7 linked regions of the Cricetulus griseus genome follow. The protein of the gene in region 4 purifies or fractionates together with the protein of the main gene of each other region. This does not show direct contact. Links are inferred from orthologs where the notes say so. Each region holds a gene or a part of one and is shown on either strand. Other genes may lie near its edges.

Region 1 (3,951 bases), on a different chromosome or scaffold from region 4:
TGGGCTCTATTTACATACCTACCTAAGGAATGAAGATGTTACCTGATAAGTCATTTTTTTCCATTAAAATTGGGGCCAGGGAAACAACTCAGGTGGTAAAAAACTTGCTGTGAAAACACAAGGATGGAGTTCAGTCTCTAGAACCCATATAAAAGAGTTGGGTAGGATGATGTGTAGGTCTGTAATCCCCGGTGCTCAGGAGACAGACACAGGTGGGGCCCCTAGGGCTTTCTAGTCAGGTAGCCTAGTTAATTAACAAACTCCCTTCATCCCAGCATGTGGGAGATTATTAAGGCAGGGGCAAGTAAATCTTTGAGTTTACAAAGTGAGTTCCAAGCCAGCCAGATTGTCTCAAAACAAACAATAAGTAGGTGGTTCCTGATGAACCAACCATCCTTAAGGCTGATCTCTGGCCTCCATATGCATACAAGTGTCCACACGAACATGCCCACACAAAACAATAAAAAAGTATTCGGTTTACTCATCATAATTCTATATTTCATGAGTGCTCTGGAACTCAAGCAGTAAACTGGTTATCTATCCTACAAATACTACAAAGATGGACCTTGATGCCAATTCAAATTCTCATGAAGAAAGCAACAACAAAAAATTCTCATGAAAAGTTAAAATTCTCAAGAGTCCTTCTAATTATCCTCATCCTTACTAGGTCTACCAATCATATGAAAGGATGCATTTACATTAATAAAAATCCAGGGCTGGCAAGATGGCTCAGTGGGTAAAGATGCTTGCCACCAAGCCTGACAAACTCTAAATGGATCCCATATGATGGAGAGAATCAACTCCCACAAGTTGTCCCCCGACTTCCACCTGTGTCATGGCATGCTGGTACACACACACACACAAAGTAAATGGTTAAAAAAAAACTCAAGTCCCTCTGCCAATCTTTTCCTGCCTTTTTAAATACAGTCTACGGTTTATGTTTTATTCCATCTCCCCTTCCTCAGCACTCCAATCATACAGAAATGAATAGCCCTTTTAATATCCATGATCAAGCCGGGCATTGGTGGCGCACGCCTTTAATCCCAGCACTCAGGAGGCAGAGGCAGGCGGATCTCTGTGAGTTCGAGGCCAGCCTGGTCTCCAGAGGGAGTGCCAGGATAGGCTCCAAAGCTACACAGAGAAACCCTGTCTCGAAAAAAACAAAAACAAAACAGACAAACAAACAAACAAAAATCCATGATCAAAACCCTCAAATTGGCCCAATTATCCGTTCACTTTCTGTGTTGGTCCAAGTAAGGGGTGGCACCATCCTTGGGGATCACCTAGGTACAAGGAAGAGAAACCACTCAAACTAGTTTAAACAAAAGAGAGAATTTATTAGGCAAATATACTTGCAGAGATTCCAACAGCTGTAATGGGTCAACAGCTGGAACCACACCTTCCTATAAGACAGAACATGCTTCAATCACAAACTCTAGCTTTGGGATCTGCACCATCATGAGGGTGATCCTCCTTGTACCCTGCACGAGGGACTAGAAAGTGGGTTCATTTCTGCTTGCCTTTTGATCCTTATAATCCTTTATGCTGGCCTCAAACTTGTCAAGCACATGTTGGCAGACATTCATGAGCTCATTCAGGCCTTTCTGAAACGGTTCAACAGCTGGAAGGGTACCCCGTGTCTGAATTCGCAAATTAATTTTGCTCTCTGAAGGATGGGTCGTAGTGTAACCACAAAATTCCACTTCCGGGTTCTTCATGATCATGTACCGAAGAGAATTTCCTAGGGTATGGTCCTCCTCGTGCAGTACAAATGTCACACACTGTCTATCTGTTCCAGCTGCCTGGACCATTTCCAAGGCTGTCTTCCTCTCGCCTTCGGCCATTGAGGTCTTCAATCCTGACATTTTTCTACACACATATTTTTTTGTAAGAATGAGATCATATGGGATACCATTTTGTGATTAAGCTTTTTAAGATTCACCACCTCAGTTTCCTGCCTCCGATACTTCTATACATAAATATTTAACTCGAGTTTCTCTCTACTCCATTTGATATATTGCCCACAAGGGGAGTCATCTCAGAAAATAAACACAAATGTTTGCAAAATCTTTCTTTGAATAGAGAAAAAGAAAGGGGCAGAGTTATAATAGGGTAGGCCCTGCTGAAAGATGAAATGGGAGTTGACAGGCATAAAAAACACGATTACTTTAGCATAAAAATGGCAACCACAAGTTATTAAGGTGGCAGGCTCAGTTATGGCTTCCCTTTGAAAGAGGTAAGGAAACTAGTAAGTCAAAGGAAGTGAAAAGTTTAATAGGAGGAAGAATTTGGCGGTCAGAAAGAATTTACGAGCAGTCTGCAGAGCGGAGTTGCAGTAACTTTAGCCGACTTAACATGCCAGCACCGCCCGGTGCGTGACCTTACACGAGGCAGTTCTAATGGGGATGGCAGTTTGGCACTTAGAGCTGGATTCCCAACTTCTCTCCCCTCCAGGATGGCTAGTGTCCCTCTGAGCTTTTCTGTATAAACAAACCCACCACCGCTTCTCCTCCCTCTTCCCAACCCGCTCGGCTCTACTCTCGATCTTCCCTTGCCCAGCGCCTCGGGTCAGGCCTAGCCGCCCCGCCGGGCCGCAGTCGGCCGCGTGCCCGGTCGCTACCCGCTTCGCTGGCCCGGCCCGCCGCCCCCTCCACTCTTCCCCTCCAACCTTACCTCTCCAGCTCCTGATCCTCTTCCATCGCGAGGGGCGGCTCCAGGAAATCCTCAGGTGGTGCTGCCGAAAAGGACGCTCTTCCCCATATCGCGAAAGATGCGGGCGAAGCAGGAAGGAAGAAACCACCGACGGAAGAAGCGGATGACGGAAGGAGGGGGGCGGAGCCGCAGCGGCGCGGCAGGACCCGATGGAGGGGCGGGGCGAAAACAGAACACGCCCCAGCCACGCCCCGTGCGGGCCGGACCGCTCACCTGGAACTGCGGAAGCTAGGAGGCTACGGTGCAAGCAGTCCCTCGCCTGTCGCCCCCAGACACTGCTGTTTAGGGTCGGAGTTGAACCTCTCATCTGCTAGACCCACCAGGGACGGTACTGCCCCGGGACTGTCTTCCCCCCCCCGGACTGGAGTCCTTTGGAGCCTTTCGTAGGGCACCTTGCAACCTTGAAAAAGCAGAGAGACTTGTGTGCAGAGATGACTCTTCTGACCATACTGAGGTTTACAGGGAGCATTTTTCTCCCTGGGGTGCAAATGCACATCTCCATCAGGTGCAAGGCAGCGTTTGTCTTTCTTTTCGGAGAGAAGTATGAGTTTGGAGCACCGCCCTCCTTCCCCAGGAGCTCGGGTTTACCCACTGTGGACCTGCGGTTCCTTTCCCCTTTGATCCCAAGGAGCCGCCCTTCTCTTCCCCTCAGGTGCATCCTCCCAGTTCCCACCTGACCCTGGCCAGGCTGGGTCCCCGCCCCACCCCAGCTGTCCTCTAGCGCACACCTACACGTCAGCCACCCCGCACCACCTGTTCTCCCTCAGCCTGGTCCCGCAGCCCTCCCCTCCCTTCAGCTGTCCCACGGCCGGCGCGGCGCTCCGGGGTGCAAGCAGACACTTCCCGAGCGTCTTCTCTGTGTGTGTCTGAGAGAATCCGGCCGGGAGCGATGGCGGAGGGCGGAGCGTGCTCACTCTAACTCGGGAGTGATGAGCAGGGCCGGTCTGGCCCCTCGAGCTCCTTGATTGGCCGAAAGACTCAGAGCCCGCTCTTAGTCCCGCCTTTCTCCGCCGCTGATTGGCTCAGGTGCGTGTCGGGTTGGGCCCCTGCGCTCGCCCCCGAGGGGAAAGGCAGCAGGGGCGGTTGAGAAGTGAAGTCTTGGCCGGACTTTGCTTCTCGCCAGGAAATCGGCGGCGGTGAGTCCCGGCGGAGTGGAGCCGGGCGGCGTCCTCGTCAGCGCTCCTGCGAGGAGCCCGCCGCTTTCCCTGAGTGAGTTACTTCGCCTCAGGTGCGGGCGGT
Region 2 (4,158 bases), on a different chromosome or scaffold from region 4:
AGGCCTCCCAAGGATACAAGAGACCTCAAAGCATGCCCCCATGGTGACACACTTCCCCCAACAAGGCCACACCTACTCCAACAAAGTCACACCTCTCAACAATTCCTTTGGAGGCTGCCTCCTTTCAAACCACCACAGGAGGTAAGATCAGAGGAGGGACTCCTACAGACAGGCACTTGCATGTATCCTTACACTTTGGACTGACTCCCCTCAGTGGCACCAATTATTTTCCTAATGTCCCAGGTACTCAGGCTCTGCCCATTCATTACCACCGAGAATGAGAGAGTTGTCTGAAAGTAGTGGTTCAGGACTTTAATCCCGGTACTCAGGAGACAGAGGCAGTCAGATGGTCAGATCTCTGTGAGTTAGAGATCAGTGTGGTCTACAGACAAGTTCTGGGATAGCCAGAGCTACACAGTGAAACCCTGTCTCAAAACAAAACAAAACCAACCACCGAAAGAATGAGAGGGTTGTTGTCACCTGAAAGTTAATGACAAGGGCTCCTCCCCATACCAAAAACCAAAACAAACCCCACAAAAACCCCCAGGGTCTGGTCAGGAGCTCAGAGAGAGAGATTTGCCCACCAGAGTGCTGGGACCAAATGCACCCACCATTGCTCCCAGATCTAGATATGTTTTTCCAAAAACGTATTGTGTCTCTATCCCCTTACTCTGCGTTTGTGGCTTCTATAACCAGGGTGTCCCAGGCGCAGCCCAGTTTTGCAGCCCATGCAGTGGGTTCAGTGGTCAGACAGACTTGGTGGGGGCCTCGCTAGTTTGCTGGAAACTTGCCTTTCCAAGTCAGGGTCAGCACAGGTTCCCAGGCAGGAATTAGAGATGACCTGCGGACTCTGAGGACAAGCTCGGGCGGGACAGAATGGGAGGTATGGCGAGCATCTGGTTTTCCAGTGCTGGCCATGCTGGTACACGCCTTTAATTCTAGACTGAGACAACCTGGTTTATATATCAAATTTCAGGCCGGCCAGGGCTCACAGTGAACCACCCCACCCCCCAAAGAGGAAAAAGATACATAGACATTTCTTTTTGTTGTTGTTTTGTTTTTTGAGTCAGGGTTCCTCTGTATAACAGCCCTGGCGGTCCTGTCGCTCTGCACACCCGGCTGGTCTCGAACTCTCAGAGATCCGCCTGCCTCTGGCTCCCCAGGGCGGCGTTAAAGGCGTGGCCTACGCGCCCAGTTCCCTCTCGAGAACTCTTAAGCTGTGACGGCCAAGTATCGCGACATTTTCTCGATGGTGGTCTCGCGCAGCGGATCGCCGGGGCTGCCCGCTACGCAGCCTAAGGTGGAAGTCGCGTTTCCAGGCGGAAGACAGAACAGAGCTCGCTGAGCGGGAAGGGGAGGGCTTTCCGTTGTTCCGCGCAGACGCTTTGCGTGCGCAGGAGTGGGAGGAGCTCTTTTCGGCTTCGGCGCAGGCGCAGCGGTTCCCGGGCGACGGCGGCAGCATGGACGACGAGGAGGAGACCTACCGGCTGTGGAAGATCCGCAAGACCATCATGCAGGCGAGTGACCGGCCGGCCTCCAGCCCGCACCCTGCCTCGGGAGGGCTGCTGCGCGCTCACACCGCGCTTATGGGGGCCGGAGGGAGAGACTCGGGGTTCTCTGCGCGCTCACACCGCGCTTATGGGGACCGGAGGAGGGAAACTCTGGGTTCTCTGCGCGCTCACACCGCGTTTATGGGGGCCGGAGGGAGAGACTCGGGGTTCTCTGCGTGCTCACACCGTGTTTATGGGGGGCCGGAGGGAGAGACTCTGGGTTCTCTGCGTGCTCACACCGCGCTTATGGGGGCCGGAGGAGGGAAACTCGGGGTTCTCTGCGCGCTCACACCGCGCTTATGGGGGGCTGGAGGGAGAGACTCGGGGTTCTCTGCGCGCTCACATCGCGCTTATGGGGGCCGGAGGGAGAGACTCGGGGTTCTCTGCGCGCTCACACCGCGCTTATGGGGGGCTGGAGGGAGAAACTCGGGGTTCTCTGCGCGCTCACACCGCGCTTATGGGAGCCGGAGGGAGAGACTCGGGGTTCTCTGCGTGCTCACACCGTGTTTATGGGGGGCCGGAGGGAGAGACTCTGGGTTCTCTGCCTGCGGGGCAGCCCTCCACCCACTTAGCCCAGGCCCCAGCATCCACACGGCAGCTCACAACCATCTGTAACCCTGGTTTGAGCGGGTCTGACGCACTTTTCTCGACTGTTTCACACAGAGTGAAAAACAATATTTGAAAAAAACAAAAAACAGTTTTGCCCCGGCGTAGTGACAGAGAGAAGCCTTTAACGACAGCACTGGGGAGGCACAGGCAGGTGATCTCTGTAAGTTCGAAGCTAGCCTGATCTACATTAGCGAGTTCCAGGACAGTCAGGGCTTTGTAGAGAAGCCTTGTCTTAAGAAACCAAAATAAAGAAAAGGTAAAAATACTAATCTGGTAGCACATACCTTTCATCCCATCACTCTTGGGCCCGAGGCCAGTCAGTCTCTTGAGTTCAAGACCAGCCTGGCCTATTTGAAAGTTTGAAGTCACTCAGGGCTTCATTGTGAGACCCTGTCCCAAGAAACTTAGGTTGGCTGGGAAGTGGTGGTCCACACCTTTAATCCCAGCACTCAGAGGGCTGAGGCAGGCGGATCTCTGTGAGTTCAAGACCAACCTGTTCTACAGAGGGAGTTCTAGGACATCAGGGCTACACAGAGAAACCCTGTCTCTGAACAACAAAAGACAAAAAGAAGGAGACGAAGAGGGAAGAGACAGACCAGACCCCAGTTGAGAAAGAGGCCTGCATAGTTTTAATTTTTGCGTTGGGTGGACCCCAGGGCCTGGTCTCTCAGGCCTGCCCCTCAACCCGATGCTGGATTACACTCTACTCTTCCCTCATCACGCCTAAGACCAAACAGGAAGAGTGGGTGGGGGCACTGAGAGGTGGAAGTTGCCAGGGGATCTACCCTAGCCTGCCCAGTGAGGCTGGGGTGGGGTGGGGCCTGGTTGGGGACCAGACTGTGGCTTGGCCAGTACTGCTGGGTCACTTAAGTGCTCCTCCTCATGCTATCCCCGAGCAGCCCAGGCTGTTCAGGGATAGGTCTGGCACTGTAGTCCCGGAGTTCATGCTGAGTGTTCATTTCCTCTCTAAAGACAGGTGATTCTTTGTCTCTGCAGCTGTGTCATGACCGTGGCTACCTGGTGACCCAGGATGAGCTGGACCAGACACTTGAGGAGTTCAAGGCTCAGTTTGGGGACAAACCCAGTGAAGGAAGACCCAGGCGCACAGACCTGACAGTGCTGGTGGCCCACAACGATGATCCCACAGACCAGATGTTTGTGTTCTTCCCAGGTGAGGCCCCTTGGACCAGTAACAGAGGCCTGATTCTGGGGTCCCATAATTCTGGTGGCATTCCCCAGTCCCTGGCTCAGGTGCCAGTTAAGGTAACATGTCACAGCCCTCCCTCTGTGGTCTTCCTGCTCTCTGTCCAGCCAGTGAGGGTGGGTACCACCCAGGCCCAGCCTTGCCTGCAGGACTACTGTAGTCGCCAGCCTGCTTTTGTCCCTGCCTCCCCTGGAAACCTTCCCTTGTTTGGTTGGTGTCCATTCTCTGCCCCTTGAGTCCCAGCACCAGCTCTTGGGCCCTCTGGCTCCCATCTGCTGTGTTGTGTAGTTTCTGCCTTACAGCCCAGGCACTTCTGAAAGTGGGAGGGGTGCTATTAAAGAGCCTGAGCCCTTCTTGTGCAGCTGCCTCCTGGTCTCCCCAGACAGTCTGTTGCCTTCAATACCTTTGAGGTCCTGGGGCCTGTGAGAATTAGGGGTGCAGGGATAGGCGTGGCATCATATGCCCATAACCCCAGAACCTGGCAGACACAGACGAGGCAGGTGGTCAAGAACAGCCTGGTCTATACAGTGAGTGCTAGGACAGCTATGTAGAGCAGTGGTTCTCAACCTTCCTAATGCTGTGACCCTTTATAAAAACAGTTCCTCACGTTGTGGTGACCCCCAACCCTAACATTCCTATCTGTAATTTTGCTGTTTGGAGTCATAATGTAAATACTCATGTTTTCCTATGGTCTCAAAGGGTCAGGACCAATGGGTTGAGAACACTGATGCAAGAAGTCCCTGTCTCAAAAAGAAAAAATATACTGGGAGTGTTGAGTCTGAGATCCAGCAGTTT
Region 3 (4,266 bases), on a different chromosome or scaffold from region 4:
GCTTTCTAACGTCCCCGTCTCTAGGTAGAGTTGTCTATGGAGGACATAGAAACCATCCTGAACACACTCATTTATGATGGGAAAGTGGAGATGACGATCATTGCTGCAAAGGAAGGCACTGTCGGCAGTGTAGATGGACACATGAAACTGTACAGGGCAGTCAACCCAATCCTCCCACCTACAGGCTTAGTCCGGGCACCCTGTGGACTCTGCCCCGTAAGTAAAAGCTGCTTCATTTTGTACTTTTATCACCACCATGTGCAAATGCCACATAAAGAAACAACAGGCACACCAGGCTTCCCACCAGCAAGTGTCACCTGAGCTATTCAAACTGCCACAGACTCTTGATAGACAGATTGTTAATGAACAGGTCTTACATTATTTCTTGGAGCATTCAGGGTAGGGACATGTCCTTCTGTTCTTGACCCTGAAATGGATACATTTTCATCGGGACTAACCATTTCTTCTCTGTAGGGAGGGAAATGAAATTTGTTCAAAAGCTGCCACGAGCCAAACTTATTCTAATCCTTCTGTGCCCAGGGCACTAGTGGTGTTATTTCCCCTAAGGAGTGAGAGAACTTAGGGCTGAGTGTAACTCAGTGGCAGAGCACATGCTTAGTATACACATGGCCTTTCGCCCCAGGTTTTAACCCCTAGTGCCCTCCCCCCAGAACAGAAGGAACTTAGACTTAAGCAGAAAGTATCACTTTGAATAAGTATAATTTTTTTTCCATTATGCTTTAGCACTTTCACTCATTCATTCCTAGGTAGTTCGTAAACACGGTGCTGGACATCCTGAGGCTACAGAGAGCAAAAGCACTCCCTATCCCTGTGGCATTTATATTCTTGGGCTGCTATTCTGACATATTCATTATGATAACCCTTGTCTGTACCTATAAGCTCTCTGTGACCCAGTTTCAACTCCTAAACAAAAGCCAACATCCTGTACATCCTACTTTACACCCTGTAAAGATAGTTAAGCATAAAACAACCTTCAATTTAGTACAAATTAAGTTGTTCATAAGTATAGGACTCACTTTCTTCACTCCTATGAACCAGCTGATAGCCTTTTACCAGTGGGCAGGTGAATGGGATCACCTTTATGATGTGTTAATAGGCCTCCAAGCTAGGCAGGATAGTGTACACCTTTAATCCCAGCACTTGTTAGGCAGAGCTTTGTGAGTTTCAGACCTGCCTGTTCTACATAGGGAGTTCTAGGACAGCTGGGACTATATAGTGAGACACTGTCTCAAAAAAAACAAAAACAAGCTAAAAACAAAAAGCTTATAAAAAGTTGACTATGATCACAAGGTAGGCACTGTTATATTGTGCTCCTAAATACAGTCCTAATCCAATTCAAATAGTGTTTTCTTTTTTTCTTGTGTTAGTACTGCTTTAAATCAATGGGGGTTTAGGTATTTTAAAACTTCAATTTGAAGCCGGTGGTAGTGGCGGCGCAGGCCTTTAATCCCAGCTCTTGGGAGGCAGAGGCAGGTGGATCTTTGTGAGTTCGAGGCCAGCCTGGTCTACAGAAGGAGTACCAGGACAGCCTCCAAAGCTACAGAGAAACCCTGTCTCGAAAAACAAAACAAAAAAGCTTCAATTTGAATGTGAACTTTTTTTTGTGTTTCTTTTTAAGGTTTTTGATGACTGCCATGAAGGTGGTGAGATTTCACCATCTAATTGTATTTACATGACAGAGTGGCTCGAATTTTAATAGAGAGCTGTGAATTTTACTTACATTTGGCAAATGAATTACTTGGAGAGCAAATAATTCATGATAGAACATCCAGTTTCTTTGAAAGCATACTTCTCTATGATGGATACTGACTTGCTGCTATGAAAACGTATTTATTTCCGAAGACAGAACACAAAGCAGATGAAGTTTAATAAAGTTTAATAGGGAAGTCTCTTCAAGAAAATACCTTGAAGCTCTGGAAAAGAAGCCAGCAAACCTACACTGACCAAGTACTGCGATAACAGATAGAGCGTGAAGGTGACATGTAAAGTTACTTGTTAATGTCTTCATTGAAACTCATCATATCAGGTTTATTATCACCATTTCTGTTGGTTCGTTCTTGGGTTTCATTGAGAGGAACAGCTGACGATGGGATGTGTGCAGACTTGGGGCCTGAATGTAAAGTGGACATCCGTTTTCCACACTGTCCATTCCTCTTCACTTCAGCAGCACTGTTTCAGGAGAGCATGCTGCCACACTGACTTTGTGTCCAGGACAGGAGTTTAGATCAGTGGTAGTCCATCCTAAAGGGGATAATCTCCCAACTCCTTTGTTGTTAAGGTTGTAAATCTCTCTGTATGGCTTAACTGTACTACTTGCCAGAATTTTTTCCAGATTCTTACTTCATGCCTATAGTTTGACCCTCTCTGCCATCAGCATCAAATTCAAATTTTGTAATCTAATCCCCATGTGCGATGTGATAAGTAGGACCTTTGGAAGGTGACAGATCGTGAGTGTAGAGTCCTCATGAGTGGAATTAGGGCCTGTATAGAAGACACCCAAAGTGTTCTGTTGGCTCTTTATCATTCCAGAGCACAGGGGAAAGAATAAGGATGTGGGCCCTTGTTAGACAGTAAATCTACCAGCACATTCGACTTCCCAGCTAGAAGCAGTTCTCAGTCTGTAGGTTGCAACCCCTTTGGGGTTTGAACAACCCTTTTAAGGGTTTGTCTGAGATCTTCAGAAAACAGACATTTACTTTACAGTTCATAACAGTAGCAACATTATAGTTACACAGTAGCAAAAAAAATAATTTTATGGTTGGGATGAGGACAACATGAGGAACTGTATTAAAGGGTCGCAGCATTACGAAAGTTGAAAACCAGTGATCTATTGTGTTCTATCAAAGCAGATAGAAGAGATAGTATCTAATATTTTAACTAAACTAAAACTAGCTGGGTATGATGGTGCACTCTTTTAATCCTAGTACTTGCGAGGCAGAGGTAGGTAGATCTTGGTTAATTTGAGACCCTTGGTTAATTTGGCCTACATAGTGAGTTCCAGGACAGCCAGGGCTATAGAGAAAGAGACCCTGTCTCAAAAAATAACAGTAGATCATTGCCCTTCGTTTTGAGGGGTGAGAACCTGTCTTTTACAGTATTTTAGATCGGTCTCCTTTTTTCTTCTTCTTTTCTAAAAACATGGAGTGCTGTGTCTAAGCAGAAAAAAAATCACTGTAGTTTGTTAGTCCCAGCACTGGGCACTGGAAAACACTAATTGTCGTGCTGTTACACAGAAGATAGCCATATGCCTTTTATGGATCTCAGTGGTTGATATTTGCTTTCCCTCTCCCTCTCCCTCTCCCTCTCCTCTTTTGAGACAAAGTTTTTCTGTATGGCCCTGGCTATCCTGAAACTTTAGACCATGTTGACCTTGAATTCAGAGATCCACCTGCCTCTGCCTCTGAGTGCTGGAATTAAAGGACTCTTCTACTATGTCTACTTTACTTTGTGTCTTAAAAGTTTCTTTATGTGAAACATGGGCCAACTGAAAGGGTTCACACTCCACCCTTGTATTCTGTCTTTTTGTTTTATTTTGTTGGAGAAGAGTCTTACTCTACACTGGAGTTCACTTTATGGTCTAGGCTGGCCTTGAACTTATGGTGGTTCTGCTTTAGCCTCCCAAGTGCTGGGATTACAGGCATTTAGCAGCCATGCCTGGCTTTCTATTATCTTGGTAATTAGATACTAAGTTTTAAATTTGCTGTGTCCCTTGCCTCACCAGAATAAAAAGGTACTTGAAAAGGTTTTCTTCATAGCATTTTTTTTTACTGGGTAGTTTTTGTAGCATATTATTTAATCTATTAACTGAAAGGGATAGATAAATATAACAAAATGTAGCAACTGTGCTGTAAATAAAATGAATTTGCCTACAGAAATAAGCTGTTATCCTTGGCCTCTAAAATCATGGTGCCACAAAGCAAAACTGCAGATGAAGTCCAGATACTTCAGTCTTTCTCAGTATTACGTATTTTGCTTACCTGAGAACATATACTCTAGTCTCTTTAAAAGTGGCCCATAAAAAGAAAATTAGACATTGCCAGTCATGGTGGTGCATGCCTTTAATTTCAGCACTTGGGAGACAGGCAGGTCCAGGCGGATCTCTTGAGTTCAAGGCCAGCCTGATCCTACAGAGAGAGTTCCAGGACAGCCAGGGATACACAGAGAAACCTGTCTCGGAAAAACAAAACAAATTGACATAAGTCCACTTAATGGTTTTTCATGGATTCTCACGTGAAACTCCCAATT
Region 4 (3,500 bases):
TGCTCACCCTGGGTCTCTTGTTTCATTGTGAAGATGTGTAAGTACTGAGCACTGGGTTAAGTACATCCCACAGATCTGTGTTTCAGTTCTAGTTTTGGCCCCTGGGATGGGGGCCTGGGTAGCTATTTTATTTGTCATACAGTGGGAAGTCCTTTGAGGGCCATGAGCACTGTAAGAGCATCCGGCCATGTCACAACCTCTGCTGCATGCAGGTTGAGGTCAGAAGTACAGTGTGTTCTCTCCTTTCAGCATTTGGGTCCTGGTGATGAAACTCTAGTGGTCAGACTTGGTGACAAGTCCTTTTATCCACTGAGCCATTTTGGAGTACCTGACCACTTCAGTGCCTCATGTGAGTGGAAAAGGGATTTGTTCTTTTCCAAGAGTTGTGTGGAGTACGTATCCTGGAATACATCTGTGCCGGCTAACTAAGAACAAGTGATTACCTTCCCACTCCACCCACTTAACCTCATGCCCCTGCCAGGGCAGGGGTGGGGGTGGCATGATGTTCTGAGGATGGAAACCCAGAGCCTCATGCCAACTTAGGTGTTCCGCCAGTATGTCACTTTTGTTTGTTTGTTTGTTTTGTTTTTTAATTTATTCAACTTTATTTTATCGGTAATGGTGTAAAGGTGCCAGGTGCCCTGGAACTGAAGTAATAGACAGTTGTGCAGTTTGAGCTGCCTTGTGGGTGCTGGGAAAGGAACCTGCATCTTCTGGAAGACCAGTCATTGCTTTTAACCACTGAGTCATCTGTCCAGCCCCTGTGCCACATCTTCTAGCCGTTGGTTGTTTTTTAAGACAGGGTTTCTCTGCATAGCCCTGACTGTCCTGGAGCTCACCCTGTATATCATGCGGGCCTTGAAGTCACAGAGATCTGCTTCCAGGGTGCTGGGATTAAAGGTGTATGCCACCATGTCCAGCTTCAGCCTTCCTTTTTGAGGCTGATTAATGTATTGTGTGTGTACACTGAGCTTTTGTTCATTCATTAGTCAGTGGAGATGGGCTGCTCACCACTTACCTTTAGATGTAGTGTTCAGGCCCTGGGCACTAGCTTACACGCTGTTTGTCCTGCCCGCTAGGCCCATGCCAAATGAAGCCTGGCAGAAGCTTTTAGCTGAACGCTAGGTCATGTGGAGGGCAGTGTTTTTCCATCCGTGGGTAAGTGGCCCATGTCTGCTCCTGGCTGTATTCTGGAAAGTTAGCAGAAGACGAAGTCATCTTCAGGATGTTTGTCATCTTACGGGGTAGTGTGCAGGAAGACAGGTAGACAGAGCTGGGCAAGGGAGGACACTGAAGGAGTCCTGGTAAAAACCTGTGCTAGGATTGAGCCTGTCTGAAGAAAGACTTTAGAGCCGTGGTTCTCAACCTGTGGTTCATGACCCCTTTGGGTGGCATATCAAATATCCCGTATAATCAGGCATTTACATTGCAATTCACAACGCAAGTAGCAAAATTACAGTTATGATGAAGTAGCAACAAAAATAATTTTATGGTTGGGGGTCACTACAACATGAGCATTAGGAAGGTTGAGAATCACTGGCCTAAAGGCTTCCCGTTGCAGAATGGGCAGGAAAGCTGTGTGGTTGGAATAGGTCACCCAGCCTCTCTGAACTATCTCTTCCTCTGTTTGGTGGAAACATGGCATCTGGCACAGGCGGTTCATACAGGCAGTTGGCTAATGGCAGAGGGCATCTTCCTGTTTGAGAGGGTCAGTGACAGGTGTGGCATCTGCTAAGGCCAGTAGTCATTCTGATGTGAATACAGCTTTAGCCACTTGGGTTCAAGTGAGTGGGGAGCACATAGGACAAGGCCTGAGAACCCAGGAAGGCTTTCCCCACGTGTCTTCCATCACCACAGGCAGCCTTGTCATTTTAGTTTTCTATCCCAGGTCAGCTCTGTGCTGAGGGTAAGCTTGCCCAGGCGTCAACAGATGGGGACTTCCAAGTCTGGCCAGTTGCTGCTGTCTTTTTAGAATGCAAAGGACAGCCTGGAGGGACTTTGGAATTGACTTTGGAGTCACCAATGGCCCAGAATTGAGGCTCAGGTGTGATGGAGATTATTTGGAAACCAGCCTTAGTCCAGGGCAGCAGCTGCTGCCCGTCCCTTTGGAGACCAAGCTGTGACCTTGCAGAAATGAGGGAGGGTCGGTTCTCTGGCTTGGCAGACAGGTCCAGACCTTGGCATGGACCATTGGGTAAGTGTACTGGCAGTGAAGTTGACGTTGGTGAACATGATCAGCCCCAAGTTCCATGGCTGTCATGGAGGGTCTGGTGTACCTGACAACAGTATTCCCTTCTTTTCCAGTCCATTTCCGATATGTGGTGTTTCACCCATTCCTGGATGAGATTCTCATCGGGAAGATCAAAGGCTGCAGCCCAGAGGGTGTGCATGGTAAAAGGGGTGACTTCTGGGGTGAGACTAGAACACAGGGTGGGCAGTGTATCCAGCTGAATCTTCCCTATGGCATCAGAGAAACTGCCCAGCTAAAGGGCCAAGCAAGGGGTGCCCCATCCCTCATGCATGGAGTAAGAGCCTCATTCAACCGTCACTCTAAGGACACAGCTTAGGATCTGAGGATGGGTACTGAGCTGGCTGGTGGAGGAGACAGGCTCGCAGTGCCTATGGGTCCCTGGGTGTGCAGTGAGCACTCTGGATACTTGGAGCTTTGCCCAGGGTTGCTCAGTGCATGTTGGTAGTATAGTTAGATGTGGGGCTTTGAGGCAGGAGGGGACAGATTACAGGCTTGCTTTGCAGTGTCCAGCCATCTCTTCTGGGTTGTTCCTTTGAAGTCCCCATCCCATGCCTTCATGTTCTTCATTTCTTCCAGTCTCTTTAGGGTTCTTCGATGACATTCTCATCCCCCCTGAGTCACTGCAACAGCCTGCCAAGTTGTATCCTTTCAAGGTTAATGTGCCACCATCACCTTTCTGGGGCTGTTTTAATGGGACTGTCACTGGTCATGGTCTTGGGAGAGAGGCTCAGATGGCCTGTCACAATTGAACTTAATCATAGCTCCCAGCAGTAGCATGACATGGAGAATGCAGTGTGCCACTAGAGGGCAGTATGGCTATGTAGGCTATGGGGGAAGAGCAGAGCTCAGCCTCTGCTTGTGCCCAGGCCTGTGTGGGCAGAGGTAGGGTTTAAATGAGACTCTGACTTGTCAGCAAATCTGGCCTTGCCTTATGTTCCTCAGGCAGGTGACATTCAAACCTACCTCATCTTCTGGAGACCAGGGCAAGCCCATGATCTACCCGTCTGTCACATTAGTTATGAGGCTTGAATGAGAAGTGTGGGGTCCCTGGTCATTCAAATTTCCAGACTTGGGAATGTCATTCTCACTTTGGGTCCTGGCAAAAACTAGCTCCTCTCCAAGGAACAGGAGCAGCTTTTACTGGGACTTCCCAGCCAAAATAGGCTCAAACTGAGTTGGTTTTAACTTGGGTTAGTACTTAAGAGGACCCTCAGCCTCATGAACTCCCTAAGCATGATTATGGCCTTGA
Region 5 (4,290 bases), on a different chromosome or scaffold from region 4:
CTCTCTCTCTCTCTCTCTCTCTCTCTCTCTCTCTTTCTTTCTTTCTTTCTTTGTTGTGTGGGTGTGTGTGTCAGAGAACAATTTGTGGGATTCATTCTCCTATCTTGTGTGTTCCAGGGATTGGACTCAAGGTTCTCAGACTTATCGGCAAGCACCCCTAATTGCTGAGCCATCTAGCAGTACTTGGGATGTGGGACCAGGAGACGCAGGAGTTCAAATGCATCTTTAGCTAGATAACAAGTTCAAAGCCAGCCTGGGCCCAATGAGCCCTTAACTCAAAACCACAAATACACATATGTATGTGCAAAAGTATATGCAGGAATGAGTTTAATTCTAGGTGGTGGGAATATGGGTGACTTTTTTCACTGTGTCTTTTTCAGTCTTTTAACGTATGGGGCTGGTTTCAGCGAGTAAAGACACTTGCCTGCAAGGCAGACAATCTAAGCCGCCCCCACATGGTGGGAAGAGAGAATATACTCCAGCAAGTCTGTACTCTGACCTCCACAACATGCCGCCCCTATAAACAAATAAATAAAATAAATGTAAAAGCCTGTATGTGTACATCAACATGCATAGATACTTACAAATGGTAAAAACAAAAGAAAAATGAAAAGCCTGGTGAAAAAACTAGCCAGCTCTCTATGCGTTAGTATGTTAATAAATATTTATATACCAACCCATACACAATATGAACAAAACTGTTTTTCCATGGAGATACACATCCATAGAAACCGACAGCGAAAGATCCGAAAGGATGTATAATCAGCCGATAATGGTGGTTACGAGGAAACTAAAGCAAGTCAAAGGTTAAAGAATTATTATGTTGAATATTACGAAGATTATATGCGAAGTTTTAATATTGTTTGCGTACTAAAAATTTAAACACGTGACTTTTCAGACAGAACTGTGCAGATGTGGGGTCATGGTTCGCTTCTCAGAGCTGGGGTGAGAGTTACTGCCAGGATCAGTCTCCAAGACACCTAATTCGGGTTGTGTAGGTGACGGCGTGGTTTAACTGGACGCGTTAACCATCAGAACGCGATTTAAACTGCTTTTTGCTTTAAAGCTTATTTGGAACAAGCTCGGATATAAATAATTTAATTTTAATAGTTGGCGTTTTAACAATATTGTTTGTGACAATTTCTATCAGGAGTAGATAAAACACAAATACAACCCCCGAAAAATTATAAGAAACAAACAAAAAAAATGTATGCATGTGTTAGAACATTAAGTAGCTTCTTAGAAGGCCAGATGAGCAGCTGGGTAGCGTGGCCGAGCGGTCTAAGGCGCTGGATTAAGGCTCCAGTCTCTTCGGGGGCGTGGGTTCGAATCCCACCGCTGCCAGGATCAGTGTTTTTTCCTACCTTAACCCTGAGCTACTTTTTGCCGCCCCAGCGGCGACCTCTGCAGTTGGTTCTCGTTCTCTGCACCACGAGTAGCTCGCCGAAGGGGCGGGCCCGCGCGCTCTGGGGCGGGGCATTGTGGGTAAGAGGAAGCGCGAGGGCCGGCCCCGCTCCCCCCACGTGTCCGCCGGAGTTTCTCCAGCAGCAACATGGCCGCTGCCTAATAGGAGACCCGGCCGCCACCGTCTCTGCAGCCCGCGGGTCCCTGGGCCGTTGCCGCCGCTCGCGCGCGGCCCTGGCTGAGAGGTGAGTGCCGACTCGGCAGCCCCGGGGTTCCGGCCGCAGCCGTCGCACTCGCGCGGAGGTCTGGGCCTCTCTGCGGAGTAGGCCGGAGAGGCCCGCGCCGCTGCGTGCTGAGGGGCCGCGGCCTCCCGGGACCCGGGCGGGGCGCACGGGCAGCCGCCTCGCTTTCCCGGTCGCTCCGCACGGCTGGACGTCGGGGAGGCGACGACCGTGGGGCCCGCGCTGACTCAGGCCTCGGCCGCGCTGCCCCGCCCGGGCCTGGCTCCGGAGCCGCACCTGCGAGAGCACTGGTGCCCGGTAGCTTGCGGCTCTCGGAGGTGTGGGAAGGGCGCCTGAGCACCGGCGACATGGAGAAAGCTATGGGACGTCAGGGCCGCCCGCATGGGCCGGGGTCTGCGTCCTAGCTGAACCGGGTCAACCCTTGCTGGTGGTGCCGGGCCCGGGGCGCCTCATTGATTGATCTGTGCTTAAGCAGAGTCAAAAGGCGACTGCTCCTCAGACCCTGGGACTCTTCAGTCACGGGGGGTGGCGGTGCTTAAACCAGGTCGTCCTGCAGTTGTAATTGCCTTTAGGGTTTCTGGGTTTCGGAGCGAAAAGGTATCTGCGAAATGGGGATAACGTGATTCCTGTTACAAGAGGGTAAGATGGGTGACATCTCCTGCTTTTCATTTGTGGCTGTCTTCGTTTCATCCTATTTGAAGAAAACATGTTGCCACGTAGCAACAGTCATTCATTCATGGATGTTCCACTTTTCTCTTTGAAGCCGGTGCTTTTTTTTTTTTTTTATTGCCGGCTTAGGGATGAAAATAGGAAAGGACCCAAGGTTATGCAATTCATGCTTTCTGTCAGCTGGTACGTTGCGCAGAGGTGGGATTTGAACCTGTAAGGTTTCGCACGGGAGTCCGACCTCTTACCCACTACACCATACTGCCTTTTATCAAAGATGTGTGCAGCATAGTGGTTAAGAATAAAATCAAGACTCATTGACACCTGCTAGACGGATTTCTTGATTATACTGTTCCCTGGGGCTGTGCCCTTGGGCAAATCATAAGTTGGGCACTATAAATTTTGAATTGCACAGCTAATGAGAATGAATATTTTTGGTAGTATATTGATGCCAGACAGCATTAGGGTTTAGGAGAAGGGCTGTGAATTTTTTTTTTTTTAATTTTACAAGTAATGACCCTATAACAACGGTGAAGTATAATTATTATGTCTACTTGATGGTTGAGGAATATGAAGCATAGAGAAGCCTTCGTAGAGTTCAAAGTCTAGTGCAGAGGATAGCCAACACCTGAGCAGCAAATAGAGAAGTTCCAGGTTAGGACCACTCAGGAAATAAGGGATTGTGTTAATGGTGGAAAGAGTTGGAGGCAGCTATTCAAATTGGGTTTTCACTAAACCTGTCTAGTCCTGGAGGGAGGGGCAATGCTTACATTTAAGGAAAATGAGCATCCTGAAAATGACCTGGGATTCTTGTGCAGAGGTCCTCGGGATGCGTGGGGATTGGCCTGTTGGAGGCTCAGTGATAGATTACCAGTCCCTGAGGAGATGGTTATGTGGAACCTGGCAAGATCGTGTAAGGGCTTACAGGCCCATGAAAGGGAGTTTGGGTTTTGTTTTATGGTACAGTTGAAGGGTTTCAAGAAGAGAGCAATGTGAGTAGTTACTACAGAGACGGGAGGTCCTCTGGAGAGATAGGAAAGAATGGCCCTACGAAAGCTTTTTTTTTTTTTTTTTTTTTTTTAGCTTTTTTTGTTTGTTTTGTGTCTATTATTATTATTATTTTTTTTTTTCAGATGAGGCCTTGCTATATAATAGCCTAGGATGCCCTTAAATTTCTCTCCTAAGCCTTAAATTTCCTCCCTAAGCCTCCCTAGGGCTGGTATCGCAGGCCTGGGCCACCACAGCTGACTCAGGAGGCTTATTGGATTGTTGACTTTGAAGATTGCAGGTTAAGACTTAGTGAGCTGGGCCGTGGTGATATACGCCTTAAATCCCAGCACTTGGGAGGCAGAGGCAGGAGGATCTCTGTGAGTTCAAGGCCAGCCAGAGCTGTTACAGAACTCTTGTCTCAGAAAATAAAAAAACACCACCAAAAAATGTATTAGTGAGTGATGTAAACTTGGCCTGGGGGTCTTGCCACCAGCATTTTTATTTTGCATAGGCAAGGATAGAAAATAGAAAACATCACTGTGTGGCATGTAACAATCATATTACATGAAGTACTGTTTCAGCTGTGGCATTCCATGTATCTTCTGCATCATTGTTGGGAAAAGATTATTGTCAGTCATAGGCTGAAACTTTGAAAGCCACTGAATTGGCTCCTGTTGGTTGGGAGGCTAACAAGAGGTGATGACCTTTGCAGGTAACCCAATCAGGTGTGGTGCCCAGAGGGAGGAGCCTCTGTCATCCTGCAGAGAGGGCACCTGATCCTGCCTGATTCCAAGACTGGCAGAATCTCAGCCGTGAAAGAATAACTAGAGCTGAAGACTCTCTTAGGCCACAGCCTCTTTTTGCATGTGCTGTGTTTCATTGATTCCCCCTGAAGTCCTGTCTCAGTTGGCCACAAAGTACAGCTGCCTAAAGGGCAGGTACTTGTTTGACCCATATCTGTGACACTTGGCAGCCAGTGCAGATGCAC
Region 6 (3,500 bases), about 77 Mb from region 4:
TATTTGTTTTTGTTTTTAATAAAACTATTTAGTTTATAATTATGAAATAATTAGTGGCTGTCTTTCCAGATCACAGAATATATTTTTCACAGAGTAAAATAAATTATATAATTGAATTTAGCTATAGGCCTTGTTACTTACGATTTAGTTAAATTAGAAAATGCACAATACCTTATATTAATTAATATTAATGTAGCATCGTGAGTGTGTCAGATATATCAAAGGTTTGTGAAAATTTTGTTCACTTGAGATTTTCCAAGAAAATTGACAGTTGAGAAATTGTACACAAGGTATTGCTGTAATAACTGCCAAGGCAACACAAGGTTTGATTTTAATTTGGTCTGCTTGAGTGAGGTGAGTTGCAAGCAAGATAGCTTGATTTATTTAAAAATTGAGTATTATGTGCTTAAGAGGTGGCTCAATAGATAAAGCATTCACTGTGCAACCATAACAACTGCAGCTCCAAGCCCCAGCATGCACACAACGTCAGGTGAGCCTGTAGCTACCTATAATCCCAGCACCTGGGAAACAGAGAGAAGGGATCCCGAAGGCAAGCAACGGGCTGCCAAAACTAGCCAGAACCCGTTTTACTAAATTAAATGGAGAGTGACTGAGGAAGATATCCAATGTCAGCTTCCAGTCTTCACATGCATGTCTACACACACGAACATATTAATGCACACCCGTGCATTCACACATATACAAACATTCAAAGGTGATCCATTTAAATTGGGTCTGTTTAATGTGGCCTTTTCTTTGCCTTTGATTTTCTTCACTTAAAATTGGAATTAAAATAATTTTTTGTTTGTTTTGTTTCGGTTTTGGTTTTTCAAGACAGGGTTTCTCAGTGTAGCTTTGGAGCCTGTCGTGGAACTCACTCTGTAGACCAGGCTAGCCTCAAACTCACATAGATCTGCCTGCCTCTGCATCCCAAGTGCTGGGATTTTAAAAGAATTTTTAAAGTAAATATTTAGGGAGTTAAAGAAGAGCTAAGTTGAAGTTATTCTGGATGTAAAATAGCTTTTCTTGTTCATGAGTAATTGACAAAGTCTTAAAGAGAGATGGAGAATGCCTACACATTTTTATTAGTTACTCTTCTAATTACTGGGTTAAGACCAATCAGAAATTAGTCATGTGAAGCCTAAATTATGAAGATGCAAAATGATTATTGTACCCAGCTCCCAGAAAACCTGTGAAATTCTGTCCCTTATGTAAAGTGAGGGTCATCTAACTTAGTGAACTGAGAGCAACAGAAATAAAAATGGGTCACCTTTGTCAATTGAAAAAAAAAAATGGCAGTCATGAGGTGTTTATAAAATTCAAATTGTGAGGTTGTGGCATGGTGAGTTTTCAAGTATCAATAGAATCATCAAGACTCCCCAACTCTGTTTCTCTTCCTTATTTCTAGGATGGCTCATAATGGCTGGTGTGTTCACTTACTTTCGTTTTAATCCCCTTTTCACAACCTTCCAGATGTATCACGAAGCAGAAAATCTTGGGAATGGGAAGTAATGAAAGACAAAGGAGATGGGAAGGGGATAAACTAAATCATGCCACACATTTTAGGAGGAGGTAGGATAGGAAACATGAAAAGCAAGCATTGTAGATTAGAATTCTAACCCCAGGTTAGCAAAGCCCAATGATTAAGTCACAAAATTGAAGAATGGGACAGCATGGTGGGTGACCTTTCCTTGAGTTTCTGAGGTGGGAGGCTGGCGGGCGTGTGTTAATTTAGGATTAGCCTAAAATGATCCATAATTCTTCTCTTTGGGCTGGGTATGTAAGAATAGTTGTTTCAGTGGAAATTAATGAATCTCCCTTTACCAGGAACTAGAAAAGAGAGGCGATGGTGAAAAATCGGATGAAGAGAATGAAGAGAAAGAAGGGAGCAAAAAGAAAAATAAAGATGGCGATGACGATGATGATGATGACAATGATGAAGCAGAGCAAGAGGAGTACGATGAAGAGGAACAAGAGGAGGTAAAAGTCTGAGGATGATGAGAGCTGCTCCCTAACTTCAGAGATATCCTATGGCATGGAATGTCAGTCAGCATACAAAACCACGCCTGTAATACTAGCAAACTCAAGAATAGGGTGCGAGGGGTTTGAGGAGCTGGGGCTACAAGGTGAGACCTTGTCACAAACACAAAACCCTAAGTTTATTGAACCAAAAATGCATTCTTATCCTGGCATCAGGTGCTTGGTATGAAATGATAGTAATACAAAATGAAAACCAGCAGATAAGAGTAACTTGATTGACAGCTTTTGCAAGTAAGGAATTAAGGAAATTGATGAGAGTAGTACAGTTCATACTTACCAACATAAGAAGCTAAGACAGCAGCTGAGGTACCAAAGGGCATAGGCACATACGTCTAGAAGGAAATCCCAACAAGGCCATCATGTCTCAAATTCCCAAGTTCATGTGGACAGAAGCAGTGTGACAGCTGCCGAGGTATTGGTAAACTAGGTTGCTTCACTTCAATTTTAGAATCAATATTTTTTCTATTTTTTTCACCTTTTTGTGATGTCTATAGTTCTCTTTCTACTGTTTTGTATATCTGCATTTAACATATTTAATCTCTTGTTGATCTCGTTCTTTGCTTTACAGAAGCTTCTCAGTTTTCAGAGGTCCATTTATTAATTGTTGCTCTCAGAGTCTGTGCGACTGCTGTTCTCTTTAGGAAGTGGTCTCCTGTGCCTATGCGTTCATGTGTATTTCCCACTTTCTCTTCTATGAGGTTCAGTGTGGATGGATTTATATTGAGGACTTTGACCCATTTGGATTTGAGCTTTGTTCGTAGCGATAAATACGGATCTTGCGTTCTTCTACCCATTGACAGCCAGTTATACAACACCATTTGTTCAATCTATTTTCTTTTTTCCATTTTATATTTTTAGCTTCTTTGTCAAAAATTAGGTGTTCATAGGTGTGTGGGTTGATATTGGGGTTTTCGATTCAATTCCTTTTGTCTACCTGTCTATTTTTATGCCAATACCAAGCTTTTCATTTTCATTACTATAGCTCTATAGTAGAGCTTGAAATCAGGGATAGTGATGCCCCCAGATGATCCTTTATTGTACAGGGTTGTTTTGGCTATCCTGGGTTTTTGTTTTTCCATATGAAGTTGAGTATTGTTCTTTCAAGGTCTGTGAAGATTTATGCTGGGATTTTAATGGGGGTTGCATTGAATCTGCAGATTACTTTTGGTAGGATTGCCATTTTTACTGTGTTGATCCTACCTATCCAAGAACATGGGAGATCTTTCCATTTTCTGATATCTTCTTTAATTTCTTTCTTTAAAGACTTGAAGTTCCTGTCATACAGGTCTTTCACTTAGTTGGTTAGAGTTACACCAAGGTATTTTGTTATTTATGGCTATTGTAAAGGAGATGTTTCTGATATCCTTCTCAGCCCATTTGTCATCTGTATATAGGAAAGCTACTGATTTTTTTTTAGTTAATCCTGTATCCTGTTACATTATGGAAGGTTTTTATCAGTT
Region 7 (4,239 bases), on a different chromosome or scaffold from region 4:
TCCCCTCCTTCCTCTCTTCCCGCTCCTCCCACCTCCCATCCACCACTCCTTGGTTCAGAAAGCCGCGAACTTCCCATGGGCGTCAACAAAGCATGATATATTAAGTTGAGGCAGGACCAAGCTTCTCTCCCTGCATCAAGGCTGGGTGAGGCATCCCAGCATCGGGAACAGGTTCCAAAAAGCCAGCTCATGCGCCAGGGACAGGTCCTGATCCCACTACTAGGGGCTTCACAAACAGGGCAAGCTAAACAACTGTCACCCACATGCAGTGGGCCTAAATCGGTCTGATGCAGGCTCCCTAGCTCCCACTATCTCAGGTCAGCTGTTTCTGGGTTCCCCAAGTTACGATCTTGACTCCCTCTTACTCGTACAATTCCTCCTCCCTGACTGTGGATCTCTGCATCTGCTTCCATCAGTTACTGGATGAATGCTCTCTGGTGACAATTAGCGCAGTCACCAATTACAGGAGAAGGCCAAGTGCTCTTAAGCTGAACCATTTAGCCCCTTCGTAGTGCTTTCCTATTTCACGCATGACCTTCGGCTTAGTGGTGGCACCGCCCACAACGGGCTGCGTCCACTTCTATCAATTTGCATTCAAGAAAATGCCCCATTGAGTTACCTACTTATAAGTCTGATAGAGACATTTTCCCAATTGGGATTCCTCTTCTAGATAACTAACTTGTTAAAGTTAATAAAACAAAACAAAAACAAAAAACCCACAGGAGTCACCCCAACCCCTCCCTGTGTAGGTTATAGAATTCTTGCAGAGGATTAAGGAGGTAAGACATTTAAAAGAGGTCTGAGAAGGCAGAACTGGGAAACGTAAAGGAGTCTATAGGAATGAGACAAAAGAACCAGATGGAGGTCTGTGGAGAGGAACTGCTGGTATTGTAGGTCAGAGTTGATCTGTAGAATTGAATCTAGTGAAATGGCATAAGTGAAATAAGTGAAATGGCAGAACTGGGACCAGGTGAAGAAATGGTCAGATTGGAAAGATGGTAAGTACAGATAGACAGGTATTCATACGTTAGGCAGACAGCAGCAGAGAGGTAGTATCAACACTAGGGGCTGAATTAAAGTCCCTGGGACATTAGGTTAGTCTCTGCCTGTCAGTCCCGGCTCAGAAGATGCGAAGCAGCCGGTCCTGCGCCACTGTGACAAGACCTTCCTGAACACGTCCATGGCTCGGAGTGCGGCACTGTCTTCTCATCACCTGTACCTCCCTCCGAACCTTATTCCCGGGTAGGTCAGGCGTGTCAGCTGCCAGCCCCATCTCTCGGGCCATTTAAGCCTGTGCTTGCGTCAGGGAGATCCGTGCGCACGCGCAGGCATTACAGGAAAGCTGGGAAGGCAGACAGCGCACTATTGGAGGGTGGGAAGGACTATCTGCGTTGACCAATGGCATGTGAGAGCTGCCTGCCGCAGTGCCTTCTGGGTACGTGCCAGTGGCCGCTTCTATTGGGCGTCTGCGGCCGCGGAAGCTTTAGACAGTAAGAGCTTACTTGTTGGATCTGCAGCAATGTTGCTTTTCTGTCCGAGCTGTGGAAACGGACTAATTGTGGAGGAGGGACAGCGTTGCCATCGTTTCGCCTGCAACACTTGCCCCTACGTGCATAATATCACACGCAAGGTGAGTCCCAGAGGCGAGCGCCTCCTCCACTGTCGGTGCGCTCAGACTTCCTGCGGGCGGTAGTTTTTTTTTTTGCTCACCTGTGGAAGTACCTCAAGTTCAGTAGTTGGTAATCCAGTGGCATCGCTCCGGCCAAATCGAAGCCACTCTTCTGGTCACTTCAGAGATTTCTGCCTCTGGCTCTCTGCTGCCGGTTTTGTGACACCCAAAAGGTTGCGAGATTTCCGTTTTACCTCTAGGCTGAACCACGCCTTTAAAACCTACAGCTGTCCTCCGCACGCCAGGCTCCAATACGCTTATCACCTTCTCTGATCTCAAATCTTAATGTTCTTTTTGTGGCTCTTCTTGCTCCCAGATCCTGTCGCTATTCTGGAGGATCTTACCTCCAAAAGTGCACGCAGTACTGTTAGCTCCTTCACGTTCCTTTCGCCCGAGTTTTCTTTCCCAACGAGCCATTTGGCGCTCTCTCTCTCTCTCTCTCTCTCTCTCTCTCTCTCTCTCTCTCTCTCTCTCTCTCTCTCTCTCCTCCCTCCCTCCCTCCCTCGGTGTGGGTATGTCTGTCTGTTTCTCTCTTCCTTTTCCTTTATCTCTCTCCCTCTCCCTCTCCCTTTTGGCTGTTGGTACATGCCTATAATTCCATCACGTGGAGAGGCTGTGGCAGGAGATTAAGTTCAAGGCTCACCTGGGCTGCATAGCATATGTATATGAAAATTAAGTAAACGAAGAAACCAAACCCAGCTCTTCCAGTTTATTCTCATTCCTTTTTCTTTTCCCAGGATTCATCGTCTTCTAATATATGTCATTGTTGCTGCTTTGTGTGTGTGGTGCTTGTGTTGGAACCCAGAGAAGCTGCTTTTACAGCCCTTTGTATTGTCTACCTTTCCATTCTTGTTCCTCCTTAACTCAGTGTCCTGAGTTCTGTGATTTCAGATGTGTATCATCAGGCCTTGGTGATACCTCATTTTTAATGTTTGCACTTAAGAGCTGTATGGTAGGAGTTTGGAGTCTGGATATGTGATAAGATTGAATGGTGACATAATTTTTGAAAATTGAAGGATGACTAAAGCAACGAAATGTGTCCCTGGGAATGCTGGGATACCCAGATAAATGGTGCTATTAGGCTTTTGTCTGTCTTTCATGTTGGGTTATTAGGGGTATGAGAGAAGAGCATGGTTTAACTCAGCTGTCTTCCTGCACTGTCTGCTGTTTCCTCCAGTTTCTAGGGGTCTCTGACATTGAAACTGTGCTGTTTTGGGAATATCTCAGTCACAAAACCCCTACATTTTAATGGCTCTTGTCGCTCTTTGAAGAAGATAAATTTTGTATCCATTTACTGAGTAGAGGAAATGCTGGAGGAAAGTTATAGTTTGGTGGCCTGCTTTTAAAACTATATGATTTCTTAAAATCTGATGACTTGTTTTTGTTAGGTAACAAACCGAAAGTATCCAAAGCTGAAAGAAGTGGATGATGTGCTTGGTGGAGCAGCTGCCTGGGAGAATGTGGACTCTACTGCAGGTGAGAATTTTCCCATTACAGAGCCAGTGACTCAACCCTATTTATTATTACTTATTATTATACTTAATAATAATAAATTTATTGTTATTTATTATAATGCAACCCTGTATATTGTTAGGACCAGTAAGATGGCTCAGCAGGTAAAAGCACTTGTTTCCAAACCTGTTAACCTGAGTTTGATACTTGGAGCCCAGATAGTATAAGGAGACAGCTGATTCATGAAAAGTTGTTTACCAACTCCCACCCCCTCAACCAGTAGTTATAAAAGAATTTAAGAAAATATAAACAATAATGACAAATAGCTTGTGTTTGCCAATACAGGAAATATTTTGATATGTTGTAGTCACAATATAGTCATTCTTTAAACTCTAAGCAAGGCATTAAGACCTTTTTGTTTGTTTGATTTTGTGTTTTGAGACAGGGTTTCTCTGTGTAGCCCTGGGTGTCCTGGAACTCTCTCTGTAGACCATGCTGGCCTCGAACTCAGAGATCCATTTGCCTGCCTGCCATGTGATAGGTTTAAAGGCATGTGCACCACCACCTGGCCATATTAAATTTTTTTAAAGCAGATTTCTTTCAAGGATTAAATATACTGAAAGGAAAATCACCATATTGATACCTGCTCTGTTGTTTCATTTAGATTCTCAGGACAGATATGGGCAAGTATAAGTAAAAATCTGGTACATATTCTCTTCTTGAAACAAATTTGGGGTTTATTACAAAAAAGTTTCAATGTTGATTTAAACTTAAATATTGATGGTTGTTGAGAGGAGGCGAGAGGTGTAAAAGGACAGTTGTCCATGCTCTAGTGGGTACAGGCTTCTCAAGAGAATTCTGTTGTATGTATTTTCAAATACCAATATTGTAAAAATGATTAGCCCTAGTCTTTTTTTATTTTTAAAAATGTTTATTAAATTAAAAACAATAAAAAAATCTTATTTTACATACCAATCCCAATTCCCTCTCCATCCTGTCCTTCATTCCCCCCCCCATCTCCTCATTCCATCCCCTATCTCAAAATAAAACAAAAGCCTCTACTCATTTTCCACTTTCAAGGCTTTTGCTTATTTTTGAGATAGAATCTTGCTGTGTAG

The links.
Region 1: the proteins of Polr3h (region 4) and protein POLR1D purify together in Homo sapiens (affinity purification with mass spectrometry; 6 studies listed by BioGRID and IntAct, with this or other methods). This does not show direct contact. The link is inferred for Cricetulus griseus from reciprocal best matches to the Homo sapiens genes POLR3H and POLR1D.
Region 2: the proteins of Polr3h (region 4) and Polr2e purify together in Homo sapiens (affinity purification with mass spectrometry; 6 studies listed by BioGRID and IntAct, counting the BioPlex papers as one, with this or other methods). This does not show direct contact. The link is inferred for Cricetulus griseus from reciprocal best matches to the Homo sapiens genes POLR3H and POLR2E.
Region 3: the proteins of Polr3h (region 4) and Polr3f purify together in Homo sapiens (affinity purification with mass spectrometry; 4 studies listed by BioGRID and IntAct, with this or other methods). This does not show direct contact. The link is inferred for Cricetulus griseus from reciprocal best matches to the Homo sapiens genes POLR3H and POLR3F.
Region 5: the proteins of Polr3h (region 4) and Polr3e purify together in Homo sapiens (affinity purification with mass spectrometry; 9 studies listed by BioGRID and IntAct, counting the BioPlex papers as one, with this or other methods). This does not show direct contact. The link is inferred for Cricetulus griseus from reciprocal best matches to the Homo sapiens genes POLR3H and POLR3E.
Region 6: the proteins of Polr3h (region 4) and Polr3g purify together in Homo sapiens (affinity purification with mass spectrometry; 5 studies listed by BioGRID and IntAct, with this or other methods). This does not show direct contact. The link is inferred for Cricetulus griseus from reciprocal best matches to the Homo sapiens genes POLR3H and POLR3G.
Region 7: the proteins of Polr3h (region 4) and DNA-directed RNA polymerase III subunit RPC10 purify together in Homo sapiens (affinity purification with mass spectrometry; 3 studies listed by BioGRID and IntAct, with this or other methods). This does not show direct contact. The link is inferred for Cricetulus griseus from reciprocal best matches to the Homo sapiens genes POLR3H and POLR3K.

The regions. Positions count from the first base shown.
Region 1 is NC_048597.1:82,928,628-82,932,578, reverse strand, and holds the start of protein POLR1D, read right to left. Parts: upstream 2,801-3,951; 5' UTR 2,700-2,800; coding exon 2,674-2,699; intron 1,870-2,673; coding exon of another isoform or gene 1,494-1,869; exon of another isoform or gene 1,314-1,493; intron 1-1,313. Other genes in the region: Polr1d (DNA-directed RNA polymerases I and III subunit RPAC2), read right to left, coding at 1,494-1,869, 2,674-2,699.
Region 2 is NC_048598.1:100,836,432-100,840,589, reverse strand, and holds the start of Polr2e (DNA-directed RNA polymerases I, II, and III subunit RPABC1), read left to right. Parts: upstream 1-1,358; 5' UTR 1,359-1,460; coding exon 1,461-1,517; intron 1,518-3,131; coding exon 3,132-3,330; intron 3,331-4,158. UniProt on the Homo sapiens protein: DNA-dependent RNA polymerase catalyzes the transcription of DNA into RNA using the four ribonucleoside triphosphates as substrates.
Region 3 is NC_048599.1:34,454,945-34,459,210, reverse strand, and holds the end of Polr3f (DNA-directed RNA polymerase III subunit RPC6), read left to right. Parts: intron 1-24; coding exon 25-216; intron 217-1,639; coding exon 1,640-1,717; 3' UTR 1,718-3,766; downstream 3,767-4,266. UniProt on the Homo sapiens protein: DNA-dependent RNA polymerase catalyzes the transcription of DNA into RNA using the four ribonucleoside triphosphates as substrates.
Region 4 is NC_048595.1:379,057,081-379,060,580, reverse strand, and holds part of Polr3h (DNA-directed RNA polymerase III subunit RPC8), read left to right. Parts: intron 1-2,304; coding exon 2,305-2,391; intron 2,392-2,827; coding exon 2,828-2,891; intron 2,892-3,500.
Region 5 is NC_048596.1:79,735,656-79,739,945, reverse strand, and holds the start of Polr3e (DNA-directed RNA polymerase III subunit RPC5), read left to right. Parts: upstream 1-1,490; 5' UTR 1,491-1,649; intron 1,650-4,290. UniProt on the Homo sapiens protein: DNA-dependent RNA polymerase catalyzes the transcription of DNA into RNA using the four ribonucleoside triphosphates as substrates.
Region 6 is NC_048595.1:302,134,360-302,137,859, reverse strand, and holds part of Polr3g (DNA-directed RNA polymerase III subunit RPC7), read left to right. Parts: intron 1-1,827; coding exon 1,828-1,980; intron 1,981-3,500. UniProt on the Homo sapiens protein: DNA-dependent RNA polymerase catalyzes the transcription of DNA into RNA using the four ribonucleoside triphosphates as substrates.
Region 7 is NC_048599.1:60,488-64,726, reverse strand, and holds the start of DNA-directed RNA polymerase III subunit RPC10, read left to right. Parts: upstream 1-1,439; 5' UTR 1,440-1,519; coding exon 1,520-1,630; intron 1,631-3,057; coding exon 3,058-3,145; intron 3,146-4,239. UniProt on the Homo sapiens protein: Core component of RNA polymerase III (Pol III) which synthesizes small non-coding RNAs using the four ribonucleoside triphosphates as substrates. Can mediate Pol I proofreading of the nascent RNA transcript.